Elephas maximus indicus: one gene and its partner. The protein of the gene in region 2 purifies or fractionates together with the protein of the main gene of each other region. This does not show direct contact. Links are inferred from orthologs where the notes say so. Each region holds a gene or a part of one and is shown on either strand. Other genes may lie near its edges. The genes, in order: CANX and LNPEP.

Region 1 (15,866 bases), about 97 Mb from region 2:
GATATAAAAAAGAGAAGCAAGCAGAGACATGAGGAAGTCATACCATCAAGAGACAAAAGCCAGGAGAACAGTGCATCCTTTGGACCCAGGGTCCCTGCGACCAAGGGAAGATGAATGACAAAGGCTTTCCTCCAGAGCCAAAAAAGAAAGAAAGCCTTCCCCAGGAGCTGGTACCCTGAATTTGGACTTTTATCCTCCTAGACTATAAGTGAATAAACTTCTCTTTGTTAAAGCCATCCACTTGTGGTATTTCTGTTACAGCAGCACTAGATGACTAAAACAGACTTCATCAAAATGAAAATTTTTGTGCATTAAAGGACTTCATAAAGACAGTGAAAAAACAACCTACAGGATAAGAAAAAGTATCTGGAAAACACATATCCAGAATACCTAAACAAAAACCAAACCCACTGCCATAAAGTTCATTCCAACTCATAGCAACCCTATAAGACAGGGTAGAACCATCCCATAGGGTTTCCAATGAGCACCTGATGGATTCAAACTGCTGGATCTTTTGGTTAGCAACCCAGTTCTTAACCACTGCACCACCAGAGCTCCAGAAGATATTTAAAAAAAAAAAAAAGCCCATTGCCATCAAGTCAATTCTGACTCATAGAGACCCTATAGGAGAGAGTAGAACTGCCCCACAGGGCTTCCAAGGAGCAGCTGGTGAATTCAAACTGCTGACATTTTGATTAGCAGCTGAGCTCTTAACCAGTGTGCCACCAGGGCTCCCAGAATATATAAAGAACTCCTAAAACTTAACAGAAAGACAACCCAATTTTAAAAACTGGGCAAAGGACTTGAATAGACATTCTCCAAAAATATACAAATGGCCAGTAAGCACACGAAAAGATACTAAAGGCTGTTAGTCACCGTGAAAATGCAAATCAAAACCACAATGAGATATATCACACCTACTAGGATGGATATTATCATAAAAACGGAGACTAACAAGTGTTAGCAAGATGTGGAAAAATTAGAACCCTGTGCATTGATGGTGCAGCTGCTACCGAAAAGTTTGACAGATCCTCAAAAAGTTAAACATAGAACTACCATATGACCCAAGAATGTCACTCCTAGGAATATACCCAAGAGTCCTGAAGGCAGAAACTCAAATACCTGTACACCAAAGTTCAGTGCAGTATCATCCACAATAGCCAAAAGGTGAAAATAACCCAAGTGTCCATCAACAGATGAATACATATATAAAATGTGGTATGAATACACTATGGAATATTATTCAGTCATAAAAAGAAAGGAAATTCTAAAACATGCTACAAGGATAAACCCTGAAAACATGCTGAGTGAAGAAAGTCAGTCACAACAGGACCAATATTGTATGCTCCCACTTATATGAAATCCCTAAAATAGAAAAATACAAAGTAGATTAGTGGCCGCTATGGGCTGGGAGAAAGAGGGAATGGAGTTTTTGCTGAAGGGGTACTGAGTTTTGGGAGCAATATAACACTCCTGGAAATGGATAGTGGTGATGGTAGTGCAACACACTGAACATAATTAAGGTCACTGAATTACACACTTAAAAATGGTTAAGATGGTAAACCTTTTGTTTATGTATTTGACGACAATGAAATTTGAAAAGTAAAAATTTCAAAAACAAATTACTGCGATGATAAAATTGCACAGAACTAAACACACACACGTGCATGTAAAAAGTGGTGATATCTGAATGGGGTCTGTACCCATGTCGATTTCATGGGTTGACAGTGCACTATAGTTAAGTAAGATGTCACCATGGGGGAAATGCAGAAAGGACTTCTCTGTACTAATTTTGCAACTTCCTGTGAGTGTATAATTACTTCAAAATAAAAAGTTAAAAAAATATGTATTACTGGATCAATGAAGGTATTTCTTTACACTGGATCAAAGCCGTCAGGAAACCAGCTTTAAATTTACCTGGTCCTCCAAAGCACAAAACTATCAAAGGAAGACTCAAAAATGTGAGCTGGACTAGAAATCTGAGCTTGATGAGGTAGTCTCCTTTCCTTCCAGTTAAAAAAGGTTTTGTTTTTAGTAATTAAATTACCTACCTATGCCCAGGTCAGAAAACTTCTACCCTCTGAGATCAAAGATACAAACATGAACAAATGTATACATAGCCAAGTAGGAGCCAGATACGTACCTATTTATGTCACACACAAATGATTTCTGGTTTACTTCCCAATTTCCCAAAGACAAGAGTAAAAGGCCTGGTTCTCAAAATCAAGGTCCAAAGGGATCTTCAGGAGCCTCTGACCCACTCTTAACTTTTAGAAGAGTGGAGTTATCTTGTATTCTAGAGATGGAAGTTTCCAATTTAAAACTGATGACGCAGTAAAATTAATTCCTTACATACGAGGCAGCATAGTGCATGTTCGTGGAATGACCTGTCAAGCCAGACAGATCTGGGTTCCAGACTTCCTCCTGCTCCTCTGTATGGCCTTGGTCAGGCTACTTTAACTTCTAGAAGTATTGATTTCCCAATTTTACAGACATGGGAAATAGCCTAATTGGCTCAAAAGCTGGCCATGAAAATATGATAAAATAATTCAAAGTCTATCAGAGTCTGGTACTTCATAAGCATATGCAAACATGTTATTGTTTGAAACACAATTAGAAAAACCAACGTGAATACATTTTAAATTCTCATACTAGGCCAAAGGATCTAATATGCCTGCTTATTCCTCCAATGTATTTCAACAAAGCTGGATGATTTTACATATCAAGAAAAACTTGCTTTCGTCCAGTTTACATTATACAATTTCTTCTTTAACTCTTCCTCCTATACTTACAACAGTGTATATACAATTTTAACCTTTGGATATGGAAACTTCCATGTTTATTTGCCTTTTTTTTTTTTCCCTTAACATTCTGTTCAGTTACCAATTCTGTTCTCAGCACCCGTTCTAAAAAAAGTCTACATTCTACCACATACATTTAACAACATATACATCAGACTTTCAACTGAAGTCTTTATAATAAAATGTGATAGACATTATATCAAATTTCAGAAATCCAGAAAACTATTTAGATCAACTTTAAGAAAGGGCATACAACTAAATACCAAATTTGTCACTTCTCAAAGGCAGAGAAACTTTATCCTCAATAAATAGTCAGAATAAACAAATGGAGGCTTAAACTATTCTCAGGTCTATTAAACTTTTATATATCCTTTAAAAGTACGTCTAATTTTTTTCCCCAAGAAAGGACTGTCTCTTAATCAGGTTGAGGAAGTTCTCCTCTATTCCTAGCTTGTTGAGTATTTTAATCAAAAAAGGGTTCTGCCTTTTCTCAAATGTTTTTTCTGTATCTATTGAGATGATCACATGGTTTCTGTCCTTTATTAACATGGGATGGTATACTGATTGTCCTATGTTGAATCAACCTTGAATTCTAGGATAAATCCCACTTGGACATGGTGTATAACCCTGGATTCAGTTTGCTAGTATCATATGGAGGATTTTTACACCTACTTTCCTAAGAAATATGGGTCTGTGATTTCCTTTTCTTGTGATGTCTCTGGTTCTGGTACTAGGGCAATACAGTACTGACCAAAGAGAATGAGCAGGAAAGTGTTCCCTCCTCTTTTATTTTTTGGAAGAATTTATGAACGATTGGTGTTAATTCTCCTCTAAATATCTGGTAGAATCTACCAGTGAAGCCACCTGGTCCTGGGCTTTTTTGGAGGGATTTTTGTCTCTTGTAAAAAGTTTGGAAATTGAGTAATTTGTTCCTGCAACATTTTCAACTCTAACTCCTTCAGTCTACGAGAAGTTAGAAAGAGGAACAGAAGAAACAATCCAGTCTAATGCTACTAGACTTTTTTTTAAAAAAGTGATTTTAAAAACAGGTAAAACCCAACCCAGAGCCGTCGAGTTGAATCCGACTTATTTTAAAAATAGGTAGTATGGGATAAAAAGAGGCAGTATTCCCTTCATGTAAACTATCCATTTATCTATTAAAATATCCTTTTAAAATTTTAGGTCTTGTAGGTTTTAGATACCTTAGGAGGTCTAATTTAATCCTGATAGCCACCCTAGGAGTTAAGTACTATCATCCCCATTTTACACACGAGAAATCTAAGGTTGAAAGAAATTATGTAATCTAAGGTCCCAGTTAGAAACATACAGTAGTGTTTATGAGCAGGAACTCAAAAATTATAATCTATACTTGGCCTTTTAATAATTTGTGACCCTCAGTGAATTACTAATCTTTAGGCCTCAGTTTCTTCATGTTTGTAGAAATGGATGTGGCAGTGCTTAGCTTACAGTAAGCGCTCAATATTAGCTGTGATTTTTACCATTACTAGATATTGCCTGTAACATGTTTCATTAAGTTTTAAAGGTTTCGAAACCCTGAGTTTTAAGGCAAATAAGACATGAAGGGAAAGGAACCTTAAAAGGAATGATTCCAGTCACAGATGAACCATCTTACTTTTTGCAACTTCTGATTTTACTATCCTGTGCATCTATCAAAAAATAAACATTTAAGAGGCAATAAAATACAAAGTGGTCTTTATTGTAAATGTTTCTCCATTAAAATAGATCACCTACACTGCCTTGTTTACATTTTTGCATTTTGTTTTTTTCATGGGGAACGTTAGAATTGCTTTTTCCATAGCACTTTCCTTTTCTGGAAGGAGCACTGGTGGTACAGTGGTTAAGCACTCGGCTGCTAACCGAAAGGTTGGTGGTTCGAACCCACCAGCTGCTCTATGAGAGAAAGATGTGGCAGTCTGCTTCCAGTAAGATTACAGCCTTGGAAACCCACTGGGCCAGTTCAACTCTGTCCTACAGAGTCACTATGATTTGGAATCGACTTGACAGCAACGGTTTGTTTTCCTATAAGCTGTGTAGCTTTAAGATGTGAATACTTGAAACATACTGCTGAAGATTCTCTAATTTCTTTAAAAAACAGAATTCTCCTAATAATTTTCACAGCTCAGAGGTAATCTTAATTTAAAAGTACATCTGTTGCACTAGCAAAGTATTCAACCAGCATTTTTCTGACAAAGTTCGACAGTAAACTATATATAGTTTACAACTATGTTTAGGCGTTTTTATTACTTTCTAGAGTTACTATGACCACCAATTCTTCTGTTTGTCTAATTCTATAACTCTTCAAAGTGGTTTTATGCTCATCATCTGCATCTGTCCCTTTCAATAGCCCCGTAATGGTAAGGTATCTGAGGAAACAGCTCATTCCCATTTCAAAGATGTGTAAACCAAGATAGTAAATAAGCTAGTTACAGAGCTGGGCCCAGAAATTATGCTTACCAACTGTCATTTCACCCTCTCAAGCTATCTTGCAGGGCAAAGTGAACCCTAACTTAAAGGTTCAACAGTTTGATCGTCAAAGCTGCAGCAATGACTTCTGTCAAAATGTTTACTCCTTGTGGTCCTTGTAAGAAAACGTGATAGTTGAACTGCTGCATTGTGATAGTAGGGTGGGGGAGGGACAATGACTCCCATTTTCGGAGTTTAGAAAATCTGTTTGTTATGTGACATTCACTCCAATACAAAGCTCACTCTTGCCTTCTCATAATCCAGTTACCTGGCTTGTTATCTTGTGCAAAGGAGAACTCTCACAGCTCTTTACCTCTACTCTTAATATAACTATACCAGATGTAAAAGATGGCCCTCAAACATGGCTGTAGGAAAACTGAGATGCAGAATTATTTAAAGATCAATACAATGATTCCACTTAAAATCTACTTATTAAAAAATTAAGGAAAATCTTCCACTCCCTAAATAAGTTTAACTGTGGTTCACCTTTGCCCTCCCAAGCTTTTAATATTCAGCTCAGTTTAACTTCCCTCAACCAACACTCACTTGTGTCATGCCCAGCAGTTAATTCACAAGGTCCAATTTCTTCCCCCCCATGCCATAAAGGTGACTTCAGATCCTAAGAAACAGGACTTAGCCAACTCAAAGACTAGGATGTCAGTGTAGTAAACCAACAACTTTCAGACTCTTGTCCTATTTTATATACATCTTAATTTAATCCTCAAAACTCCATCACACGACCCCATTCCCTGCCTTCCAGTTGATTCCGACTCAGAGCAACCCTGTAGGACAGAGTAAAACTGCCCCATAAGGTTTTCAAGACTGCAAATCTTTAGGGAAGCAGACTGCCACATCTTTCTCCCACAGAGCAGCTCCTGAGTTTGAACTGCCAACCTTTTGGTTAGCAGCCAAGCTCTTAACCACTGCACCACCAGTGCTCCTCCAAAACTCCATCAGTTATTATATTATTTTTTGAGAACTGGGACACAAAAAAAGCTAAATAAACTGTCCAAGTTCACGTAACTAGCAAATAGTCCAGGAAGGACTTGAAGCAGAGCCCTATATTTAACCACTACAAGGAGACTGCGTAGCCCTCTAATCCCAACCTGATCATCAGACTAATCGTATGACCTTGGGCCGGTCATTTCGTGTTCTGGGCCTCAGTTTCCTCCACCGAAAAACAAGCTGCACTCGGAGTTTTCAGGTCCTTTCCTGCTTTTAATGTCCTGTGAATCTCCGAATGGATTACTTCCCATCCCCAAATAGCTGCTGCAAACTTTTTCAACCAACGCATGTTCTAGTACTTTCCACTTACTCTTCGGGGTTCCAGCGTCTAGTCTTTGCTTTAAGGTCTTATTTTCAAATATCCTGAACCGGTAACGCCAATAGTAAATATTCTCTATTTTTTATTGCTAAGGGTACTGACTAGGCCCGATCCCGCTTCAGACTTTACCCGGTTACTCCAGTCCACCTCGCGGCTTTCCAGGTAGCCAGGAAGAGGCCTAAGAAAGCCCTAGAAGCAGAGCCATACGAAGAATTTAGCTTTCCCAAAGGTCAAGAGAGGACCTAGGGCACCTGCCACGCCTCCCGACCCCCGCGGAGGGGCCTGGGTCTGGCTGCCCAAATGAAGCGGCCCACGTCCAGGCCTCGCTGCTCACGGCCAACGTATGTGCCGGGACCCGGGCCCTTGAAACCCAGCTCAACCCCTCGGCCCTGACCACGCCCGGCCCCTCGGCCGCGGCGCAGCGATCATGGGCCACCTGGGGTCCCCACGGGCCCGGGGGTGCGCACAAACCTCCCTTCTCACCTAGAGCCTCTTGGGGACCGCCGGCGGCTCCCGCGCCTCCTCCCGCCCGCACACCTGACCCCACGCTGCAGTGGAGACAGCGGCGGCGGCTGCCCGACCGTCACGTGCGGCAAAACGAAGAGGCCTCGGCCACCGCTGCTGCCGCCGAGCGAGCCCCACCGCACGAAGCCCGGCCCTGCGTCCGCCCCTCGTTCTTGAGTGGCTGCGAACGAAGGCAAATCCCGCCCCACTGCGCAAGCTTCGAAACTCGGTTGGTCAGTGTGGCCGTCCCTCTATGCCTCTTCCCATACGCCCCCTAGGGCTATTCTTCGTGGAGTGTGGGGACTGGCTGGAAGTAAGGCAGGAAGTGGCTGCTGGTTGGGTGGGAGGTGAGGGGGCCGGCCCCGACGTTATCGGCAACCGAAAGCGCGCGAGTCCTGGGGCGGGATCGGCGGGCCGGCGTTGTCCCGCCCAGTTACCCGGCCGTGTTAGTGGGCACGCTGACGGGTGCTTAAGCCGAATCACTGTGGTGTGGGCACCCGAGCAGCCGGCAGAAAGAGTGGGTGGTCCTGTCGGCCATCAGGAAGGGCCAGCCCCTACGCAGCGAGCGTAGGGCCCCGACCGTGCGCAGCCAGAACCCGGCACGGACGCCTTGGCCCGGCCTAAGTCGACTGCACACACAGCCCTTTCTAACTGGCCCCGGTTCCTGCAGAGTCATTGCTCTGAGCCCTGGATACTGCGGCTGGCTCATTGCCTAACACAAAATGCAATTCAGGATAATATGTATAATCCAAGGTTATATCAAACTTTCAATTTGTCATGTTTTCTGACATAAGGGCAAGCGATACACTGACGACATGCTTGAGAGAAAAGAGTGTTGCAATGGAAACATTTAAAATACACAATTTTTGTAACCGGCTTTTAGCACATCTTCAATTTTAAATGTGCCGAGAACCTCAGAAGATGGAAGCAGCTCGGAGGTTTTTCTAGACTTTGAGAGGTTCCGGTCTCTCCACCGATTGTTGCTCACCCAAAGGCTGAATCCTAGCGTGGAAGAGCTAGAAATAGCGGGTGTATCACGTATCCTGGAAGCCAGCTATATTCCCTCCTGTCACCTGAAAAGGGAAGAGAGAAGTCAGGGCTTGGTGTTTGCATAAATTTTAGTATTCAACTCTCAGCCACCAAATTTGCGAAAGAGGATTTTGTGTTAAGGGCAAAGTAATGTCCTGGATGTCACATAATCCAAACATAGTTTATAATGTAGAGGAACCACTTATATGAGCATAGGCGCTACTTCAGCAAAGGTAAGTGCTAAAAAGAAAAGAAAAGAAAAGATGGTGGTACTAAAGTGAATTTAATGGGATTTGATTACGGAGAAAGTGCATCCATCTAGGATGGACAGGGAAGAGGAAGACTGGAGCTGGACCTGGTATGATATGCAGAGTTTCTAAAGGTATAGAGTGGGAGAAAAGCTTCTTTAGATGAGGAAACAGCATATGCGAAGACAGGAAAACAGGCAATGTGTGTTTGGGGACACTGTGCAAAGTGTTCTGGCTGGAGAAGGATATTAATGAAAGTGAGTAATGGGAGATTAGCACCAGAGTTGGTTTGGGACCAGGCCTTGAAAGACTAGCCAAGGAGTTAATAGATATTTTAGCTTTTAAATTTGGGTCATGATTTAGGTGTCTTGGGAAGCATTCTTTTGATATTATTACCGGGAAATCTAAAAGAGAGACTAGCAACTATGAGGCCAGTTAGGAAGTCACTTCCTGCAGTTAGGGGATAGCAGTGTATATAGAAACAAAAGCATTAAATGTTGATGCCGAAGGATAATCCAGTGGACTCTGGAAAAGAGAAGAACCAATGCCAGTATTGAGATGTTTTGACCTAGAAATGAGGTAAGGTGATACAGCCCCAAAAGAAAGGGGGAACTCGAACTTGCCTGATCCTGAGGAATATGGATCTCGGCCCAAGAAACAACAGGACTGGAGATGTGGATTTTTCAGCCAAAGCATAATGTGCTTCAGTGGAGGAGACCAAGGACAAAACCTTCAAGAATGAGATATTTTCTTGATAATTCAAAAGGTACTCTGAGTGATTAGTAGATTATCTCATTAAAATAAATAATTATATAGTTCTTAGAGGGCAGTTATGGTTCAGTGTTAGAACTCTTGCCTTCCATGAAGGAGACCTGGCCAAAGTACCTCAAGTGCAGCCAGCACTCATCAGTCAGTGGAGGCTTGTGTTTTGCTGTGATGCTAAACAGGTTTTGATGGAGCTCCCAGACTAATATGGACTAGGAGGAAATGCCTGGCAATCTACTTCTGAAAATCAGCCCATGAAAATGCTATGGATCACAACGGCCAAATCCTGTGTGTACGGGGTTGCCTTGAGTTGGAGGCCAACTCAACTGTGGCAAACAACAGAGTTCTTAGTGTGGGACATTGGGCTAAATGTATTCTGACTGACCTTATAACCTGCAAATTGTTTTTCAAAATCAATGCTTTATGAAATATCCATCAACGAATGGATAAACAAAATGTGGTATATATATAGTGGAATATTATGCAGCTGTAAAGAAAAACCAAATTCTGATGCTTGTCACAACAGGGATGAACCCTGAAAACATCATGCTGAGCAAAATAAGTCAGCCGCAAAAGGACAAATACTGTATGATCTCACGTATATGAAATAAGCAAATATACAGAAACCAAAGATTATTATTGGTTAGCAGGGGAAAGGGGGAGTTTTTGGGGAGCACCGGGTTTACGTTACTTAATGATGGTAGAATGTTTTGGATGAAGATAGTGATAATGGTGGCACAACATGAAAAATGTAATCAATGTCATTGAGTTGTAAATGTGGAAGTTGTATTGGCGAATGTTTTGGTGTGTATGTTTTCACCGCAATTTAAAAAGAAAAAAATAAATGCTTTATATCCATTTTAAAATACTCATATCCTTTGGCCCAGCAGTTCTACCCCTGGGAATATATCCATATATCTGTGTGGAATATAGCCACATACTGTACTTGTGTGTAAAGACATCCAGTGAAGTTCATTGCATCATTGTTTTAGTATCAAAATTCTGGAAAAAATCTTAAAAATAGCCTAACTGATATACAGAACTGTTTAAATAAAATACAGACCCTACAATGAATGGCTCTACACCCTTAAAAAGCATGTTGAGCTCTGTTTACAATAGCAAAAAGCTGGAAGCAAACAAGATGTCCATCAACGGACGAATGGGTAAATAAATTGTGGTATATTCACACAATGGAATACTACGCATCGATAAAGAACAGTGACGAATCTCTGAAACACTTCATAACATGGAGGAATCTGGAAGGCATTATGCTGAGCGAAATGAGTCAGTTGCAAAAGGACAAATATTGTATAAGACCACTATTATAAGATCTTGAGAAATAGAAAAAACGGAAAAGAACACATACTTTTGTGGTTACAAAGGGGGGAGGGAGGGAGGGAGGGAGGGAGAGGGCTTTTTATTGATCAATCTGTAGATGGGAACTGCTTTGGGTGAAGGGAAAGACAACACTCAAAACATGGAAGGTCAGCCTAATTGGACAGGATTAAAAGTAAAGAGGTTTCCGAGATAAAATGAAAGCTTCAAAGGATAGCGAAGCAGGGGCTGGGGTCTGGGGAACTTGGTTTGAGAGGACTTCTAAATCAATGGGCAAAACAATTCTATTACGAAAACACTCTGCATCCCACTTTGAATTGTGGCACCTGGGGTCCTAAATGCCAACAAGCAGCCATCTAAAATACATTAATTGGTCTCAACCCACCGGGAGCAAAGGCAAAGGAAGAACACCAAGGTCACACGACAACTAAGAACCCAAGAGACAGAAAGGGCCACTTGAACCAGAGACCTACAATATCCTGAGACCAGAAGAACTAGTTGGTGCCCGGCCACAATCGATGTCTGCCCTGTCAGGGAACACAACAGACAACTCCTGAGGGAGCAGGAGACCAATGGGATGCAGACCCCAAATTCTCATTAAAAGACCACACCTAATGGTATGATTGCGACTAGAGGAATCCCAGAGACAATGCTCCCCAGAACTTCTGATGGCACAGGACAGGAACCATCCCCGAAGACAAATCATCAGGCATGAAAAGGACTGGTTAGTGGGGGGGAGAGAGATACTGATGAAGAGTGAGCTAATTAAATCAGGTGGACACAGGAGAGTGTGTTGGCAACTCTTGACTGGAGGGGGGATGGGAAGATAGAGAGAGAGGGAAGAAGGTAAAATTGGCACGAAACGAGAGACTGTAAGGGCTGACTCAATAGGGGGAGAGCAAGTGGGAGAAGGGAGTAAGATGTATGTAAACCTACATGTGACAGACTGATTGGAATGGTAAATGTTCACTTGAAGCTTAATAAAAAAAAAAAAAAAAAAAAGCATGTTGAGTAGTAGTATTGCCAAGATTTAGTGTTATGTGAAAAAGTACTGAGTAATGTATGCATCGTTCCATGTTGGAGAGGTTATAAATACAATCTTGAACAAACAAGCTTACTGGATACACAAGAAACTCCTGAAAGACTGGTATAAAGAGGGAAGTGGGACTCAAAGTGGGAAGGAGACTTTTTTTTATAACAAATGCAAATATTATTTTTTCAATAAAGAACATTAAACAAATTTCTTTTACGCTTAGTTTCTCAAAAAAGACAATATATATTTAAGACCACTATAAATGAAGTTGTACTGGACACAAGCAATTTGTCCTTCATATCCAGCTTCCTCTTATAGCTTAGCTTGCCCCTATTCACAAGGCCCCAAAGAAAAGCCACACTTGTCCTTGCTCATTCACACCTTCCTTTGCTTGAAGGAGAAAGTGGGGCATGCAGCACCCCACATTTCCATCCAGCTTTTTCTTACTGGTTGGGTAGTAACCACCACTTCTCTGTACCCACACTCATCTGGCACTGTCAACTTAATAGGCAAAGTGCAGTATATTGTTATTTTAATTGAAGTTTCTTGTCTTACAATGAGATTGTTTTTAATGTTCATTAGCCATATTTCTTCACGAATGGTCTATTCACGTAATTTGTCCATTTTTCTATTACAGAGTTTGTCTTTTTCATATTGGTTTTTAAGAAATCTTTATTAGGATATTAGCTATCTACTACACTTATGTTTTTCCAATTTTATTAAGAGCTTTTTAATTTTTTGTGTGTGATTATAAGGAACAAAAATATTTAAACTAACTCAAGAAAAGTATATAGAGACATCAGAATATCCAAGGACAGAAAAAAAAAATTACTATCTCATCTTACATTATCTGGAATTGAGAGTGAGAATGGAGGTTGCTCTTTCTTGTCTTTCAGAGCCACGTGGACCCTGGACGTGTGCTTCAGCCTCCTCTCTCCCTTCATCACCAGCATCCACTCACTACCTTGGCTCAGGGTTAACATGCATGCCAAGCCTTCTTAAATCCTGGCTCTTCAGCTCCAGAAACAATTGGAGTTTTCTGTTTACTCAGGGCTAATATAACCCAAACTCTCCTTCACTTGTTGAAACTCCTCCCAAAACATTGAAACACAGGAAGCAGTCCACCCATTTGGTCCTCAAGCTGAGGTCTCTCACAGCCCTGTCCTCCTGTTCTAGTTGGGATGGGTTGCTTTCTTGGACTGCTTCTCAGCAACTGTCAATGAAGTCCTTGTACCTCCTGCATTTGGATCTCCTGTTTCATCAGTCCCCCACTTTTAGAAATCAATCTTATTGTGCTGTTTCATGATTTTGATAAACATATGCACCATGTAACCACTACCATAATGAAGATAGAGAACATTTCTGTTACCCCAAAAGGCCCCCCTATACGCGTTCCCAGTCGGTCCCCACCAGTGGCCCTAGGAAAAGACTGATCTGCTTTCTGTCACTAAAGATTTGTCTTTTCTAGAGTTTCTTGAAAAAGGAATCACAATAAAGTTTTGTGTCTGGCTTCTTTTGCTCAGCCTAATGTTCTGAGATTCTCATCCTTGTTGTGGCATTTATCAGTGGTTCATTCCTTTTAATTGTTGGGTAGTGTTCTATCGTATGGCTATATCACAATTTATCCATTCACCAGGTGATAGACACTTGGGGTGTTCCTAGTTTTTGGCTATTATGATATAGTATTGCTATGGATATTTGCATACAAGTCTTTATGTAGATAAATGTTTTAATCTTCTCTTCATAACCTGACACCTTACTCTTTTTTGGTTTACAATTGGTAGATACATTTTCCTGTTGCTTCCTAAGAAATATTGCTTGTGAAGTATATATTTTTTTAATCCTGCACATCTAAAAATCTATCATTGACTCTGCAAATCTATCAAAGGCACACACCAAATTGAGAAACAGCTATCCATGAAAAACTATGGAACTTCAAGTAACAATAGTGGGCGTCTGTGGTGTCATTACTTGCGGCTGCTCCTACGCCCCTCTTCAGCTCAGGTTCGTGGCGGTTCTATCAGGGTAGGGAAAACTGCGAAAAGCAGCAGCATGTCTGCCAGAGGGGGCTGAATTGACATGGCATGAAGCACACCAAAACCCAGGCCCAGGAATATAGTCGTTTTCTGCCAGAGCTTCGCCGGACTTGCCTGCCTCTTTTGTTAGCCCTTACAAGTCAAACCCAGATGCAGGCCCTCAAGTCCTGTTCCTGGTTATAATGTGGTTACCCAGAGTAGGTAGAACTTTTTTTTTTTTTTTCTGAAATTAAAACAAAATTTATTGAGGCGGAAAGGCGGAGAGTGCTGACACATTGTGGGGATTGCAACCAATGTCACAAAACGGTTTGTGTATAAATTTTTTAATGAGAAGCTACTTTGCGCTGTAAACTTTCACCTAAAGCACAGTAAGAATTTTAAAAATTAAAAAAAAAATTTTTTTTTTTTCCTGGAGTATTTGCAAATTCCAAAGAATAGCCATAGAACTAATTTTAAGGAACATTAGCTTGGGAGGAATAGCAATCCGTAGACCATGGAAGCCCACCACCACTGCCACCCCTGAGTTCTGTACCTCATCCACTCCTGTCACCACCAAGCCCACAAGAAAGACCCAAGGAGAGGCTAAAGAAGACAAAGCTCTAGTGAAGGATAAACCACAGAGGGATGGGCATCCTTACCTGCTAAACGTGCTGTTCCTTAAAAGGCACCTCATAAGAAAGGGAGAGAATAACAGGCTGCAGAAAATGAAGGTGCCAAGTGAAGTGGGTGTGTTTTTTTGGTAACTGTGGACTTGTGTTCTATACTGTTCGAATTACTATCTCAATCAAGTTTTATACAAGTGCAGAATTTTTACCTTTTTTGTGTGTGTGTGTGTGTGTGTTACCACAGGGACTGTCTCGTTTCAGGAAAAGTTAGTTCAATGGATGTTCTTTGGAATCTGCGTATACAAATGCAAGGGCAGATTATCTCAGAAGCTAGATTGAAATGACCATGGGGGGAAGCAAGAATTTGCTTCCTTGATTTTGGGAGTATTTCTCTTGATTCCCAGGAGGAGGGGACCCGCTGACATTCACATCCACCAGTCACTGAAGAAAAAATTGCTTGGGTGTAGGGAAATGAAAATTCATTTTTAGGTCTTCTTCTCCCTCTCTGCCAAATGTCCTTAAACTCAGAGACCTGTTTGGACCTGGCACTCCCTCCTTCACTGGCACCAAATTTAGTGTTTTCTATAAGGGCATTGAGATAGAGTCCCTCAAACAGGCCAAGAACCATTGCTTTTAGACTGTGGATCTTTAAATTCCGTTTCCATTTAATTTCCTTAAAAGCAGGATCTGCTTGTGAAAAGAGTTAACATGTTAAATGGCAACTGTCCATCATCTCTCTAAACTTTTCCTGTTCAAAGCAACAAATTATGCCTTCTTTGGGTTTTGTGGCTTTTCCTTTTTGGTAATCCATGGATTTGAATGGTGGTGTATACTATTTCTGGTGGTTGCCCGTGATGTGCCTGAAATATTATGACTTAATTAAAATTAGCTTTAATAAAATAGAAATAAGAGAGAAAGAAGAAATTGCTGGCTTGGTTAAAATATTGCCCCCTGGCTCCCCTTCCCCCAACCCTGGGCTCTGATTCCATGCCCATCAGACAACCTTCTGAAGAATGATTTGGGCTCCCAATGTTCTGATGACAGGAAGAGAGGGTTCTGAACAGTGACCATGAGTGTTTATTTGTGGAAATTGACATTCTAATTCTAAAATGTATATGGAAATACAAAGGACCTAGAAAGTCAAAGCAATCTTAAAGAATGTTGCTGGGAGATTCACACTACCATATATCAAGACTAATTGTAAGCTATAATAATGAAAAAAAGTGGTATTGGCGCAAGGACAGATAGACCAGTGGAAGAGAATAAAACCCGTTGCTGTCGAGTCGATTCTGACTCATAGCAACCCTATAAGGCAAAGTAGAATGCCCCAAAGAGTTTTCAAGGAGCGCCTAGTGGATTCGAACTGCTGACCTTTTGGTTAGCAGCTGTAGCGCTTAACCACTACACCACCAGGAATCGAGAGTCCAAAAACAAACCCACACATACAGTCACGTGATGAACAGACACTACCGTAATTAGTGAGGGCAAGGCTAGTATTTTCTTTTTTGCTTTAAGAATTTTTTAATTTTGTTGTTGTTAAGAATATACACAGCAAAACATATACCAATTCAACAGTTCCTACATGCACAATTTAGTGACATTGATTACATTCTTCGAGTTGTGCAACCATTCTCACCCTCACTTTCTGAGTTATTCCTCCCTCATTAACATAAACTCACTGCCCCGTAAGGTTCCTATGTAT
Region 2 (15,555 bases):
AATCCACCAGCTGCTCCTTGGAAACCCTATGGAGCAGTTCTACTCATAGTGTCACTATGAGCTAGAATCGACTCAATGGCAACACATTTGGTTTTTTTTGTTTGTCTCCTCCACCTGTAAAGTTACCAAGCCTTTCAGTAGCCTGTTTGCCTGTAGTGATGCTGCTCTTTAAAGAGCAATACATTTCTTATTTCCACAGACTAATACCCAATACACCTACAATCAGTCTGAGTTGTCTTCTTAACCTAGCCACCCAATCTAGACACTGAAATGTCATGTCAATGGCCCCATTGGCTGAGACATTTAGCATTCCAGTTTAAAGAGTACAGAAACTACAGCCAGTAAGTGTAACAAGGGTGGACCAGCCCAAACTCCTAGACGCGATCTTGATAAATCTGGGCATACTTAGCTCCTCCACTAGGTCCCAAGGGCCACAGCAGCCTGCCTTACTTTAACCATTGAGGGCCTTTTCACAATTACGGGACAAAAGGATAGCAGATAAGTATTACATTACTTCTGTCTCCAAATCTTTCTACCAACATCAATTTAAAGAAAAATCTTTTAAATATTTAGCTCTCTTCAATCATGCCCACTAATTTGTATACAGCTTTCCTCAAAACAGGTCCCTGGAATGGTATAATACTGTTGCAATTATTTTAAACTCTTTAAAATAAAAACTTCAGCTGTAAGAAATACTATGGCCTGAAGCATCTTTCCCCACCAGAAAATTCCTTAATGACACCTGGGAAACTACCACATACCCAGATCATAATTTGCTATGTGACCCAGGAAGGTAAGGGGCAAACCTAAACCACAGAGATACCACTTCTCTCACTGTACTGCCCCATACTCCTGTTCCCCCAGCTTAAGAAGCTTTCATCACAGAAACATCAGGAAGCCTTCTTTAACTTCCTTTACCCAGATCATGGTTTGGCCTTCCCAACAGCACCAAAAACTAGAGAAGACTTTGGACCACCCCGTTCTAGAGAGGTTTAGACAGTTGGCTCAAGTTTTGTTTCCGTGACTGCATTTATGAGATATGTGGGAGGAATGTCCAGGATGACCTTCATCAAGCAGTACACACTAGAAGGAAAAGAACTTCAAAGGGTCTCCTACAATCAAACTTAATTCTCCATTGTTTTTTAAGCTCCTTTGGAAGCCTGAGTTTTCTTTATTTGGCAAATGAACTAGTTTTCTCCTTATTTAGATGCTAAGGTTAGAATTAAAAACAAAACAAAATCTTAATTGGCTCATTGTTCAGCCAAAAACATCCATAGAAAATTAAAGCAAAACAAAGCAATACAGAACAGTGACTTTTACCAGGATGGCTGCACAAAGCAGATGGCTCTATATTTCTTTTTGTTTTTTTCTCCTGAAATCTACATTCAGAAAAATGAACAGTCCTAACATTACAAATGACTATGAATTTTCTGATGATGAAAGAAGATAGTACGATTAAAACCCTAGCAATGACTCTAACTCATTCATTCCCTCACCCTCCAAATCCTTTTGTCCAACCAGACCAACCTTCCAACTCCCCCTCCAGCCCTGACTCTAACTTTCAACCAAATACAACAGTATCCTGTGCCCCAACCTAGGCCTGAGGTCCTCATTTCTGAGCCAAAGACTTGCAAGGTTTAAGGTATAATCTGAAATTCTGTGCCTATGAGCTTCCCCCCTTAGCCCCAAATCTTCACTTTTTTTTCATCTTCACCACCAATTTTCCTTTTAAATTCCACTGTAGCAGAATTCGTCTTCTCCCAGAATAATCCCAAATGGATTATGACAATGGATCACGTTTTATGAGGAAGCCTGACCACCCTTTCAGGGACACGGACTACTCTTACTCACATTTACTGCCCAGAAACACCAGAGCAGTAAGCAGCCTTCTCTACAAACACCATTATGAATTCAAGACGCTGTACCACTACAAAGGCTCCAAAACTTCCCTCCATTTCCATTCCTGGTTTCTTGTGAACTCTCAGAAAAGCTGCATATCTAGGGATTAAATTAAAAAAAAAAAAAAAAAAAGACTGCCTTTCTCTGGCTGCCCCAACTTCTGGAGCAACCTTGGCCAAACTCCTCCATATCTCAATTTTTTTTTAATGCTTTTACAGAGTGGGTTAAAACGTTGTTTTTTCCTAATAAGATCATACTAAATCAGTAGAGATGTGGGTTCAGTGGTTGCAGATGCTATACGAACAGGTTATAAAAATAATTCTATACATTTTCTTCATGATTAGAATAATGTCCTAGACACCATTTTACTGCTTCTTTACTTCTTCTACATTTCTATATTTTTATATTAGCGTGAAAACCAAAGTAGGTTCTTCTGATCCATTTCTCTTATTAGGTTAACACTACTGATGACAGGTTTGTGGTTTTTTTGTAACTGTGGCTAGGCAGAAATCTACCTGTTAAGTGGTCATTCAAAAAATGGTGTTTGACTAAATTATTGAGCAAGAAATCACCCCTTGCTTAACCTTAGTATATAATATAATTTCCTTATGATCAAACTTTCCAGTTCTATATCTTTCAGGCTGAGTTCTCAGGGATCATCTACAGATAAGTGATAATCAATGGTCTCAAGACAGTCTTTTTTGGAAGTTGATAACAGCAAAGAACTTTCCAGTTAAAAACTGGATTGGTTTCTACCTACAGCCTCAACCTTAGACTGTTAATGATGTTAACAGTAGGCTTTATCGCTGCTTACACTCAATTCCTATATAGTCTAACTCCCCCTAGGTGAAATAAAAAACTCTACAGAAGGATAAAAACAGAATTTCTATTTCATCACACAGAGAAACAACGATCTTCCATTTCTTAAAGGTTTTCTCTCAACGTGGTAAAATATAACATAAGAAAAAATACATAAACAAAAATGTGTTAAGGTCACATTTTTGACAGATGATGATGCTAAAAATTTTTAAGAAATGCATACCTATATGACAACTTACTTGTAAGACAAAACGATGAAATCAGAATTTTATACTGCCTTACAAACCATGAATATCTAAATTCTTGTCCAGACTTCCATTTTGGAAGTTGGGAAATGCTTTTAACTGCATACCAATCTGAAAACAAAAATAATTCTGTGAGACTGGGACGTCCCTCTTGTTACAGTATGCATCGGGCTATGATACTAACATGATTCCTGGGGGCTGTGCTCATTTGAAAAAATGACAAACTGTTTAAATTATGTTTTTAGTTCTAGGACTTCAAAATACCAATGTTTTTCTAACCTCTGGATTAGACAGCTAAAAAGTATAGGGAAAAAATACATACTAGCAGAAAAAGAAGTCCTTTTCTATCGCTTTTTTCCCAAATCCTGAATTTGCTTACCTGATCAACTTCCCAAAAGCTCCTTTCTGGTGAATACTCGTAGCATCCTCAACATGTACTGCGGATTCCCAGGCCCAACCTCAGCTCTACTAAATTAGATTCTGCGGGTGAGCCCTGGCATCCGTATTCCTTAACATGAACCTAAATTATTCTGAAATATCCCAGCCCTGCATGCAAATAAGAACAAAGTTAGACATCAAATTACTTGCCCTAATCCAGTACCTTTATCGAAAGACCCAGGGCGTTGCCATCAAATCTTTTATAATATGAAAATGACTACTTAATAGTTTCATCTCCACCTGCTTACGAGGATACACATCACTGCCAAACCTCTCATGAGCACTGGTCAGCATACTTCTCTCCCCATTAAAAAAAAAGGCACCAAAGATCCAAAACAAGACAGGATGTCACATCTTCAGAACAGCAGTCAGCAATCCCTCCCAAGGGCAAGGCCAAAAATATCCCCCGAGCCAAATTCCTGGCATAATGTCCTTCTTTTTAGCCCTTTCTGGAGATGTGCATTTTAAATGGGTTGCAGCAGTAGTTACCTTGGACAGGTGTTCATCAAATAAACTCACTATCAGCAGACAGAGAAGGGCCTGTGAAAAATGGGCCACACCAGGAGCAAGTTTTGACAGAACACAGGAAAAGTGCAGAAAGTCCTACTGGAACAGGTGAATGTTGAAGGCAGGAATGACAAGAAAAAAACTAAATCTGCCTCCTTTACGAATGTGCAGGCCAGAGGGTAAAGCCACTGACTAGATTTTAACTGAAAGATACGTGCTCCTGAATTACGGAAACTTTCTTCATTAAGCTCCAACATATCTCTTAAAGAAATATATGAGAAAGTCTAAGTATGTGGTGAAGGTTTTATTATAAGATAATGAATGTATAACCTAAGCCAATACCAAGCCTGAAAAATCCTGTAATTATAAATTGTATGAATAATGAAATACTCTGCACCAGAACACCCAGACCTATAAAAGAATTACATGTACATATCCTCTGTATTCAAAAGGATTATGTACAAGATAAACATACTTTCCACTACACCATATCATGTCTGAAGACCTTAGAAAATTCTATAGCTATGACTTCAAAGGTTATGAAATACTCAGTCCACCTTAAACCTAAAAAGTACCTCAGATCACTAACATCTAATTTCTTACTGACTTTAGATGTTGTAGTTTCTATTCTTCTTGTTAAAGGACTCTAGATAAGACACCAAGTAGTGATTAGTACATTAACTAAGATGATACACTGCCAAAGTGTCTCCAGCATGGACTGAAAATCTGAAAGACATGTAAGAAAGGATCAGAAATCCAATTTCCTATATGGAAGTTGAAGCATTGCTTCTTTTTTGTTCTCTCTGGAATTTTTCCACCACCCTAGGACAGAGCAGAACTGCCCCAAAGAGTTTCCAAGGAACGCCTGGTAGATTCGAACTGCTGATCTTTTGGTTAGCAGCCACAGCACTTAACCACTATGCCACCTGCGTTTCTGTCCCAAATGTAAAAATTTTGAAAATGTTAACATCTAAAGAAGCATATTCTATGGGATGAGAAATTTAAGACTTGAGAATGTATTTCAATGCTACAGGGGCAGGTTCACCAAATCAAATAGCCCTAATCTTGACTCAGCCTTTTACTTACATGAAATCTCACACTGAAAATCCTACAGATACAGAGGCTCCAAGCATTCTACCTCAAAGAAAGAATAAACCTATAGAAGAAAAAGCTCTGGACTATTCATTTCAAAGACTTAACTACTTGCATTAAGCATATTTTACACTAAAGTCCCTAAGGTTCCTTTCCGCTGAAATCGTCCTTAATTCTCTGAGTAACTGTACCAGACTATCCTTAGAACTTGAGTAATTAAAAACAGAATCTGAATGAGCAAGAGAATTCAAAATTAAAGTTATCCTCATTAAGTCTAATTAAACAGTACAGACAGAAAAATGGAAGCAGAATAAAGCATTCTGAATTAGGGACAGGGAGAATATAATGAATAGTTTGCATACTCAATTGACCTCAAGAAGGAAGCACAAAATTCAATGCAAGCTGGAGTTTGGGATATAGCTGAAAATATTTGTCTCTCAGGTAGGAACTGGCCCACCCAAACGGAAGCAAAACTTCGGCTTCTACCCCAATGCCGTCGGGTCGATTTCGACTCATAGCGACCCTACAGGACAGAGTAGAACTGCCCCACAGTTTCCAAAGAGCGCCGGGTGGAGTCGAACTGCCAACCTTTTGGTTAGCAGCCGTATCACTTAACCACTACGCCACCAGTGTTTCCTTTGGCTTCTATTAACGCTATAATCCAACTATCTGAAGTAACCGACCAACTGCAGGAAAACACCTGTCAATAATAAGGTGAATTTCCAAATTTTCAAGTGAATTCTCCCTTGCTGGCAGTTTTTCTACTTTCTATCCTAAAAGGAAATTCATTTACTCAACTCCGCGAAATGGTTACATATCTCACCCCCCTATCTTGTGACTCCAGCACTTCCAGTCCAAACAAAAGCCCTCGTTTTTATTCTCGCCACCAGTAAAGGGCTGTAGCTGTTTGCAGGGCATCCCGCAGGCACCTACGTAAACTCTCGCCTCAAACAATATCGTGGTATCACCGTGACGGACACTTGATATTTAATTAGTCCTCGACTGAAACTGATATCATCGGGAGCCGGTGAAAAGAAGCTTGAACGCCCTGCGGAGAGCCTCGGCGACAGGAGGATGGCAGTGCGGACTGGCACCTCCTCGGCATGGGACACGGGTGAGCAAGCCTTTCCGCAAGTTTCCCTTCCTTTCACTAAATTAATCTACTAAGCCTCTCATCCCCACCCCGCCCTATTAGGAGAAGTCACGCCGGCCACTCGCTGAAGGACAGGGAGACAGCTCCCGGCGCACTAGGGAAGTTGGCTTTGGCAGGGGCCGCGGCTTAACCCTTGCTGCCCAAGAGCCAGGATCGACACCGCCCTCGCCGAGGGCAAAACCGGCTGCCAACTTTCCCGCTGTCCCCTCCTCTGCGCACAGCACCCCAAACTTTGCCGTTCGTCCGCCAGCCCACCCGGCCGCACCCGAGCGCCCCCCCCACTCCCGGCCGGCGGAGGAGCTGACCTTCAAAGATAGCCCCCGGCCATGTGCGACCACTGCCCGACCGCCGAGTCTCCAGGCACCTCCCACAGTCCCCCTCCGCCGCCCCCAACCCTCGCGCGAAATTGGTGGTGGGGGCGACTGCAGCCCGACCCCGCGTATCCCGGTTACCCACGACCCTCTGGGCCAGAGCGAGCCCCCGCCCTGGCGCCTCGGGCCGCTCACTCACCATTGGTAAAGGGCTCCATTTTCCCCCCACCGCGGCTCCTTGCACCTGGAGCGCCCAAGCTTCCTACTCTGCGAGCTGAGGCGGCCCTGCCGACTGAGCATGCCCAGCGCGGCCGCCGAGGGCTGCCGGGGAGGTGCCGCGAGGGGCAGCGCCGCTCCACGAAACCTCCACTCCGGGTTTTCGCGGCGGCTGCAGAAAAAGACAGTGAGGCTTGAGGCAAAAGCGCGGCTCACGCTGGGGCCGACTTCGGGGAAAGGCGGGGGAGGAGAAGGTTAGAGCTGGGGCGGGGGCGGGGCCGGGGCAGGGCCGAGACTAGACCCGCCCCTGCCAGAAGGACCAGCGACTCTGCTCTCTCCACTAACAAGAAGTGTGTTGAGTCGCTCAACAAATGTCAGGTCCTACTGCGTCTGGCCCGGTCCAATGTGCCGGGAATCCAGCATTGCGCCGGAAAAACATGGTCCCTGCCCCGTGGAGCGTACGTTCCAGAGAGAGACAATAAACAAGCCCAGGTGACTAGTTAGACTGGAGTAAACCCCCCCGCAGAACATTAAATCAGGGTGGTGGGCTGGAGAGTGAAATTAAATCAGGGTGGTGGGCTGGAGAGTGAGGGAGTGGCTAATTCGGAAGGCGTCATGAGGAGCGGTCACGCTGAGGGGGTGCCTTGAAGCCGAGATAAGAAGAGACAGCGGGAGTCAGCGGGCGGGAATCGCTCTCTAGACGGCTAAGCTTCTGTTTCCTTGGGGAGATTGGCCCCGGAGAACTCAGTTCTCCAAGGCCCGAAAGAGCAGGCGCCACGAGTCTCGGAAGGGCTGCCCGCCTGCGGCAGAGCGACCCCAAAGGGCCGGTCCTCAGGGGACTGAAGTGGGGGGAAGCCCCATCGGCCCGGGTGCGCCCGGGTTGCCGTACTCCGCTGGAGGCTCGGGGCGTGGCCTCCCGATGCTGTCGGATCACAAAACACGGGGCGGATCGACCGGCCTGGGGCCGCGCGTGCCGCAGGATATGGGTCGGCCAGGGGACCTTAAATCAACACCTGCGGCTCCCGGGGAGTGCGGACGCTGGGGCCAGCCGCGGGGCGCTAGGCCCGGGGAGCCGACACTCCTGTAGTCGCCCGAGGCCCCCGGCACTCGCGCCATGGCTTCCAGCCCTGAGCCACCATTGTTTCCAGTTTCAAATCAAGGAAGCCCCGGCAAGCCTCTGAGACAGAACCGTTAGGGGCCGCGTTGCCCCGGGGCAGGCTCAGCTGGGCGGCTTCCTCGTCCCTTGCTCCGTCTGTGCTTCGCTGCTACCCTCGAGGCGGAGGCCGCCGCCTTCTTCCCCTCCCTCCTCCCATATCCCCGGCCCTTGCAGCGACTTGTCTCCGCTGCGCCGGTCTGCGCCTGCCTACTGTCACACGCTCCTCCGAGGCTGTCAACAGGAGGGCGTTGGATGCGAACAAGACAGCAGGGTGCGCACGGCCTGGGCAAACAGGCACGACCTGGGCGTCGTTTGACCCGCACAGGAGTTAGAAATTAGATTTCAAAGAAATAAAATTGTGGTACATAGCGGGTTGTTTTTGTAGTGCGCAGCGTTTTTGCAATATTGTATTTTTAAATGTACTACCCCCTCTCCAAAACCTCCGCTTACGCATGGAATAAAATCTGAACTCTTTGCATAACTCTGGAACTGCATCTCCTACTCTTGCTCCCCGTGCTCTTATTACAGGCCTTTGTGCCTCATGCCTTTTCTGAAAATCGCCAAGTTCCTTCCAGCATCGTTAACCACTCCTCTTGCATGTGCCTCGTGCGTGAACTGTGCCTTCTGCCTGCTACTTGGCCTGCTAGTTCCGTCTTGCTATTTACGTCTCAGCTCAAGCTCAAATGTCACCTCTACACAGAGCCCTTCCCTGACCATGCAATCTAAAATAACCACAAACACAGTCCACTCTATATAGATTTGCCCTGCTTTATTTTCTTCATAGCACCCATGGCTGTCAAACAATGTTTTTTATTTGTTAAATTATTATTTATCTCCCCCTCAGGAATGCAAGTTCTATGAGAGCAGAGTCATTACCTTTTTTAGGGCTGTACCCCAGTACCTAGATAAGCATGCAATAAATAAGTGTTGAATGAATAAGTGAATGGGTACAGTGGTATTTAGAGTTCAAGTTCACTTCCAATGCCGAGAAAGTCTCAGTGTTGAATGATGTGTTTGTGATTAGTACAGAGAAAGTGTCTGCGTGGTATGATACCTCAAAACTGCTCTCTCCCCACTGCATTAAAGATAGTAAGAGCCCTTTAGGCTGGCTCCCTGCAGGGCACTTCAGAGCGAAAAACAGAAAGTGAACCACCAGGGCTGGGGCATCTGTGTTCCTATATGATATAGTATATGCAGATCTGGGTTTTGTTAAAATGACCCAACAGATTCTATTGCTTAGATAAGAGGCTCTTTACATTTTAGGTCATCTTCCTTTGGGGTTATTTTTGCAGCCAAATCGCTTAGTATCAGAGATATTTAAAACTCCACAGCTTGTTGACTCACCTCACCTGTAAGCTACAGTCTGTCATGCTTTTAAGTGTGAAGCACGTTGTCTTGTTTTGTCTTACATGCCTCAACTCTGCAGAGACTTGTGATAAATATTTTTGCACTAGCAAGTAAGTAAATCATGTCTTTTTGAGATTTCTTTGACAAAGAGACAAATAATTTCTTTATCCTTTCTTTGTCAACCTTGTCCTCATTCCTCTGCCATTCCTACACCTGTGTGCCTGAGCACATACCCACATATTAAGGGCTATCTAAAGACTTGCGGTTTTGTATTAGAGATAAAAAGAATAAAAACCGAAGTCATTCAGAATCCTAGCTACCCTCAAAAGAACAAAAATGAATTTCATTCCTTTCATTTGTTTGTTTTTTGATACCATTTTACATTTGACTTCATAAAGCCTTTTTGAGGGAACATGATTTCACAAATTTGCTGCTAAAACACATTATGTTTCTATCTTAATCTCCTCCTATCCTCCCACACAGAATTTCCTCTTTAGTTGAAGCATCTAACACTTTAAATTATTATGACGTTACTACTAATTACCAGAGGAGATAGTGTGAATTATCTACTATACCCATCTACTATTTTCAGAATCAGTCTACTGTTTAAAATTTGAAAACCAAAATTTTGGAAGGCTAATTGTAATATATAATAAATAGTATGAAAGGAAACTTATGAGCACCCTGGATAACAAACAGCATTCATTTATGAAGAACGAGCAAACTTGCTAATCAATGAATGTAGGAACCTTTCCATCAAAATAAGGCACTTGGTTTGTCACAGATCAGCTAATCCAAACCTCATATTTAAGAGATGAGGGAACTGAAGTCTAGAGAAGTTAGGAGATTTACTCACGGCCCAGCAGCAGGTATGGAATTCAGGTCATCTGTATTCTAAGCCAGTGCTCTGGAGTTTGCTGTTGTTCCTTATTCCCACAGCGAAATTAGGGCCAATGACAATAATTCATGAAAGAGATATGGGGTAAAGAGAAATACAGCTAACTTCAGGCTACTATTCCATTCCATATCAACTTTGGTTTAGCATTATTACATCTTCTAACTATTCTGAAATAAGCAATAAAATACATTAATTCCATGCATACTTTTGAAAATGATAATATTTGTTCAGCACTCATGAGTAAATGGAGAATGCTTCAACCAGGCCCAGGGTGACCACTGTGATGTTTCCAGATACCCCAGACCTTACTTAGCCACTGCAAACACCAAAGGAGTCAATAATCTCATTGCCTCAGCAACCTGTTCTGAGTGCACACGCTTTGCGTAAATTAATAATATTTAAAGTTATACCAAATTAAGAACTATTTAGAGCGCTAAGGAAAACAAAATAAGTATCCAACATTCTTACAGAGCCTAGGAATAAGCAAAAAGCTCAGGCAAGTAAAGTGAATAGGTTATTATCAGGAAGGAAACCCTGGTGGTGTGGTGGTTAAATGCTATGGCTGCTAACTGAAAGGTCAGCAGTTTGAATCCACCGGCTGCTCTGTGGAAACTCTATGGGGCAGTTCTACTCTGTACTATAGGGTCACTATGAATTGGAATTGACTCGACGGCCGCTGGATTGATTTGGTTTGGTTTTAGTTCAGATGCTTTGTATTACAAAACCAAAACCCTAAATCAAACTAGTTTAAACAATATATGTGTATTATGTCACACAATAGCAAATCCAGAGATAAGGCAATCTCCAGTCGCAGCTCCACAATCTCATCAAGAGCCCAACTTTTCACGCTCTCTGCAGTGATGCTCAGTGTGAACACTTCTCCAAAACACCAAAGATGGCTGCAACAGGGGAGGAAGACAGAAGCTACTCTTCGGTGTCTTTCTGAAGAGCAAGGGAACTTTTCTCAGAAATCCCCCATTACGATTCTTCTTAAATCTCATTTGCCAAAACTGTATTCCATACATTTCTAAACCAACCACTGGAAATAAAAGTGATTTACTTCTTAGACAAAGCAGAGTTTCCAAATGCTGAGGTTAGGCTCACCTCCCTTGTTTCAGGTGGGGGCAGAAGAGTACTTAAAGTCATTTTTCTTATTCGGAAGGCAAAAGGGGACTTAACAACCAAAATGTTAGGTAGGTAATCTAAATATCCATGAAAAATTATAAACACATGTATTATTTTTGTTGTGGTAAAAAGATATATAACTAAACATTTACCATTTCAATTTTTTTCATTTCCATGTTTTTTACATGTACAACTCAGTGACATTAATTACATTCATCATGTTGTGCAACCATCACCACTAATGATAATTTAAATGATAATTAAAAAAAATACCTCGTACAGCAAAAACAAAGCTAGAGCCCACTAAATTGAATATAATTTTCAAATAATTGATTAATATAGCTAGGATTCTAACCCAAGAAACTGTATATCGTTAAATCTTGAATTTTGATCCAAAAGTAACTACTAAAATTGAAAAAAAAAAAAAGCAAACTTTAGTCTTGGGCGTTTTTCTAATAAAATAAAGTTAAAAATAAGTATCAAGAAAAATTTTGTTTCAAAGGATACGGTCAAGAAAGTGAAAGGGCAAAACATAGAATGGGAGAAAATATGTATCACACATCTGATAAGGGACTTATAACTAGAGTATATAAAGAACTCATACTACTCAATAATAAAGAGACGAACAACCCAATTAAAAAGTGGGCAAAGGATCTGAATAGACATTTCTCCAAAGATATACAAATAGCCAAAAAACACGTGAAAAACGCTCAACATCATTAGCCATCAGGGAAATGCAAATCAAAACCACAATGCGATACTTTTACACATACACTGGGAAACAAAATAAATGTCAGATGTGGAGAAATTAGAACCCACATACACTGCTGGTAGGAATGTAAAATGGTACAGCAGCTTTGGAAAACAGTCTGGCAGTTCCTGAAAAGGTTAAATATACAGTTACTGTACCCAACCCAACCCATAGCCGTTGATGACCCAACTCAGAATCATAGCAAGCCTACAGGACAGAGTAAATCTTTACGGAAGCAGACTGCCACATCTTTCTCTCTTGGAGCAGCTGGTGGGTTCCAGCCACCGACCTTTAGGTTAGCAGCCAAGCACTTAACCACTGTGTCACCAGCGCTGCTTAGCGTTACCGTGTGATCCAGCAATTCCCCTCCTAGGTATATATCCAAAAGAAATGGAAACGTATACCCAGAATAAAATTTGTACATAAGTATTTATAGCAGCATCATTCATAAGAGCCAAAAAAAGTGGAAACAATCCAAATGTCCATCAACTGACGAATGGATAAATGTAAGGTGATACGTACATATAATGGAATATTATTTGGCAACAAAAAGGAATGAGATATTGATGGATGCTACAACATGGTGAACCTTGAAAACATCATGGTAATCATAGAAGCCAGTCACAAAAGAACACATATTGTATGATTCCATGTGTCACAGGTAGGCATGTCTGCTAGACATTGAAATGTCCAGAATAGGCAAGACTAAACCCATTGCTGTGGAGGCTGGTGGATTCCAACTGCTGACCTTTTGTTTAGCTTTTAGCCACTGTGTCACCAGGCAAGCCTAGAGAAACTGAAAGTACATTAATTGTTGCCTCAGGCTAGGGTGGAGCCCTTGTGGCGCAGTGGTTAAGTGATAAGGCTGTTAACCAAAAGGTCAAGCAGTTCAAATCCACCAGCTGCCCCTTTGATACCCTATGGGGCAGTTCTATTCTGTCCTTTACAGTCAATATGGGTTGGAATCCACAGGACAACAGGTTTTGTTTTGTTTTGGTTTGGTTTGGTTTTAGGGCTGAGGTAGAGGGTTAGAGGGAGAAAGGGGAGTGATCACTAATGGGTATGGGGTTTATTGTTGAGGTGATGAAACCTTCCTAAAATCGATTTTGGTAATGGTTGCACAACTCTGTGAATATACTAAAAACCATTCAACTGTACACTTTAAATGGGTGAATTACACGATATGTGAATTGTTGTTGTTGTTAGGTGTCGTCAAGTTGGTTCTGACTCACAACGACCGTATGCACAACAGAACAAAACACTGCCCAGTCTTGCACCATCCTCACAACTGTTACTATGCTTGAGCCCACTGTTGCAGCCACTGTGTCAATCTGACTCTTTGAAGGTCTTCCCCTTTTTTCATCGATCCTCTATTTTACCAACCATGATGTCCTTCTCCAGGGACTGATCCCTCCTGATAATATGTCCAAAGTATGTGAGACATAGTCTCGCCAACCTTTCTTCCTTGCTTCTGAGGAGCATTCTGGCTGTACTTCCTCCAAGACAGACTTGTTCATTCTTTTGGTAGTTCATGGTATATTCAATATTCTTCACCAATGCCACAATTCAAAGGCATCAATTCTTCTTCCATCTTCCTTATTCATTGTCCAGCCTTTGCATGCATATGAGGCAATTTAAAACACCATGGCTTGGGTCTGGTGTACTTTAGTCCTCAGGATGACATCTTTGCATTTCAACACTTCAAAGAGGTGTTTTGCAGCCTATTTGCCCAATACAATGCGTCTTTTGATTTCTTGACTGCTGCTTCCATGGGTGTTAATTGTGGATCCAAGTAGAATGAAATCCTTTACAACCTCAATCTTTTCTAGGTTTATCATGATGCTGCTTATTGTTCGAGCTGTGAGGATTTTTGTTTTCTTTGTGTTGAGGTGCAATCCATACTGAAGGCAGTGTTCTTCGATTTTCATTAGTAAGTGCGTCAAGCCCTCTTCACTTTCAGCAAGCAAGGTTGTGTCATCTGCATAATGAAGGTTGTGAATGAGTCTTCCTCCAATCCTGGTGCCCCGTTCTTCTTCATATAGTCCAGTTTCTCCGATTATTTGCTCAGCATTCAGATTGAATAGGTATGGTGAAAGGATATAACCCTGATGCACACGTTTGCTGACTTTACACTGTGCAGTATTCTCTTGTTCTGTTCAAATGACTGCCTCTTGATCCATGTACAGGTTCCTCATGAGCACAATTAAGTGTTCTAGATTCCCATTCTCCGCAATGTTATCCGTAATTTGTTATGATCCCCACAGCCGAATGCTTTTGCATAGTCAATAAAACACAGGTAAACATCCTTCTGGTATTCTCTGCTTTCAGCCAGGGTCCATCTGACATCAGCAATGATATCCCTGGTTCCACATCCTCTTCTGAAACCAGCCTGAATTTCTGGAATTTCCCTGTCGATATACTGCTGCAGCCGTTTTTGAATGCTCTTCAGCAAAATTTTGCTTGCATGTGATATTAATGATATTGTTCAATAAGTTCTGCATTTGGTTGGATCATATGTATAGGTAAATATGGATCTTTTCCAATTGGATGGCCAAATTTCTTGGCATAGACAAGGAAGCACTTCCAACACTGCATGTTTGTTGAAACATCTCAATTAGTGTTCTGTCAATTCCCGGAGCCTTTTTTGCCAATGCCTTCAGCGCAGCTTGGACTTCTTCCTTCAGCACCATCAGATCCTGATAATATGTTACCTCCTGAAAAGGTCGAAGGTCAACCAATTCTTTTTGATATGGTGACTCTGTGTATTCCTTCCATCTTCTTTTGATGCTGCCTGTATCAAAATTGTATATGAAAATTTATATATATTATATATAATATATATAATTTATTGAGAATTATATCTCAATAAAGGTGTTTTATACATACATAAATATGTATGTATATGCATATTTAAATGTAAATTTTTGACATTATGGACTTAGAATGCAAATGATATTTCATAAGAATATTCTTCTTTGTCCATTGTTTAAATAAGTTTGTTTTTCAGTCTAATGGTAGCTGGCTGCTACCATTAAAAGTTACCAAAAAGAAAACCAAACCCGCTCCCATGAGTCAATTCTGACTCATAGCAACCCTATAAGACAGGGTACAATTGCCCCATAGAGTTTCCAAGGCTGTAAATATTTATGGAAGCAGATTGCCACATTTTTCTCCCACTGCTAACCAAAAGGTGGACTGGTGGATTTGAACCACTGACTTTTCTGTTAGCAGCTGGCCATTTTAACCATTGTGTCACAGGGGCTCTTAAAAAGGTACCGAGTCATTCAGTTAAACACTGATCCACTTAGAAACACAGAAATGCTGTAGAAAATTCCGTAGGCACAGATATATCTTTTCTGTCTTTTCCAGATGGTTGCCCTAAACCCACTAGAAATGCTTAAAAAAGAAATCTTCACTCTGGGAGCTACTGTCAAACCGCGGTGAGCATTAGAATCACCTGGGGAGTTTGTTAAGAAGCAGATTCCTGAGCCTTGCCCCACCCCAGACTTTGAATCATTTGTTATAGTTGTTAGGTGCCATCCAGTCAGTTCCAACTCATAGGGACCCCATACACAACAGAAACACTGCCCAGTCCTGT

Evidence for each region.
Region 1: the proteins of LNPEP (region 2) and CANX purify together in Homo sapiens (affinity purification with mass spectrometry; 3 studies listed by BioGRID and IntAct, with this or other methods). This does not show direct contact. The link is inferred for Elephas maximus indicus from reciprocal best matches to the Homo sapiens genes LNPEP and CANX.

Annotation. Positions count from the first base shown.
Region 1 is NC_064820.1:201,839,850-201,855,715, reverse strand, and holds the start of CANX (calnexin), read right to left. Parts: upstream 7,270-15,866; 5' UTR 7,093-7,269; intron 1-7,092. UniProt on the Homo sapiens protein: Calcium-binding protein that interacts with newly synthesized monoglucosylated glycoproteins in the endoplasmic reticulum. It may act in assisting protein assembly and/or in the retention within the ER of unassembled protein subunits.
Region 2 is NC_064820.1:104,517,674-104,533,228, reverse strand, and holds the start of LNPEP (leucyl-cystinyl aminopeptidase), read right to left. Parts: upstream 6,847-15,555; 5' UTR 6,683-6,846; coding exon 6,664-6,682; intron 1-6,663. UniProt on the Homo sapiens protein: Release of an N-terminal amino acid, cleaves before cysteine, leucine as well as other amino acids. Degrades peptide hormones such as oxytocin, vasopressin and angiotensin III, and plays a role in maintaining homeostasis during pregnancy.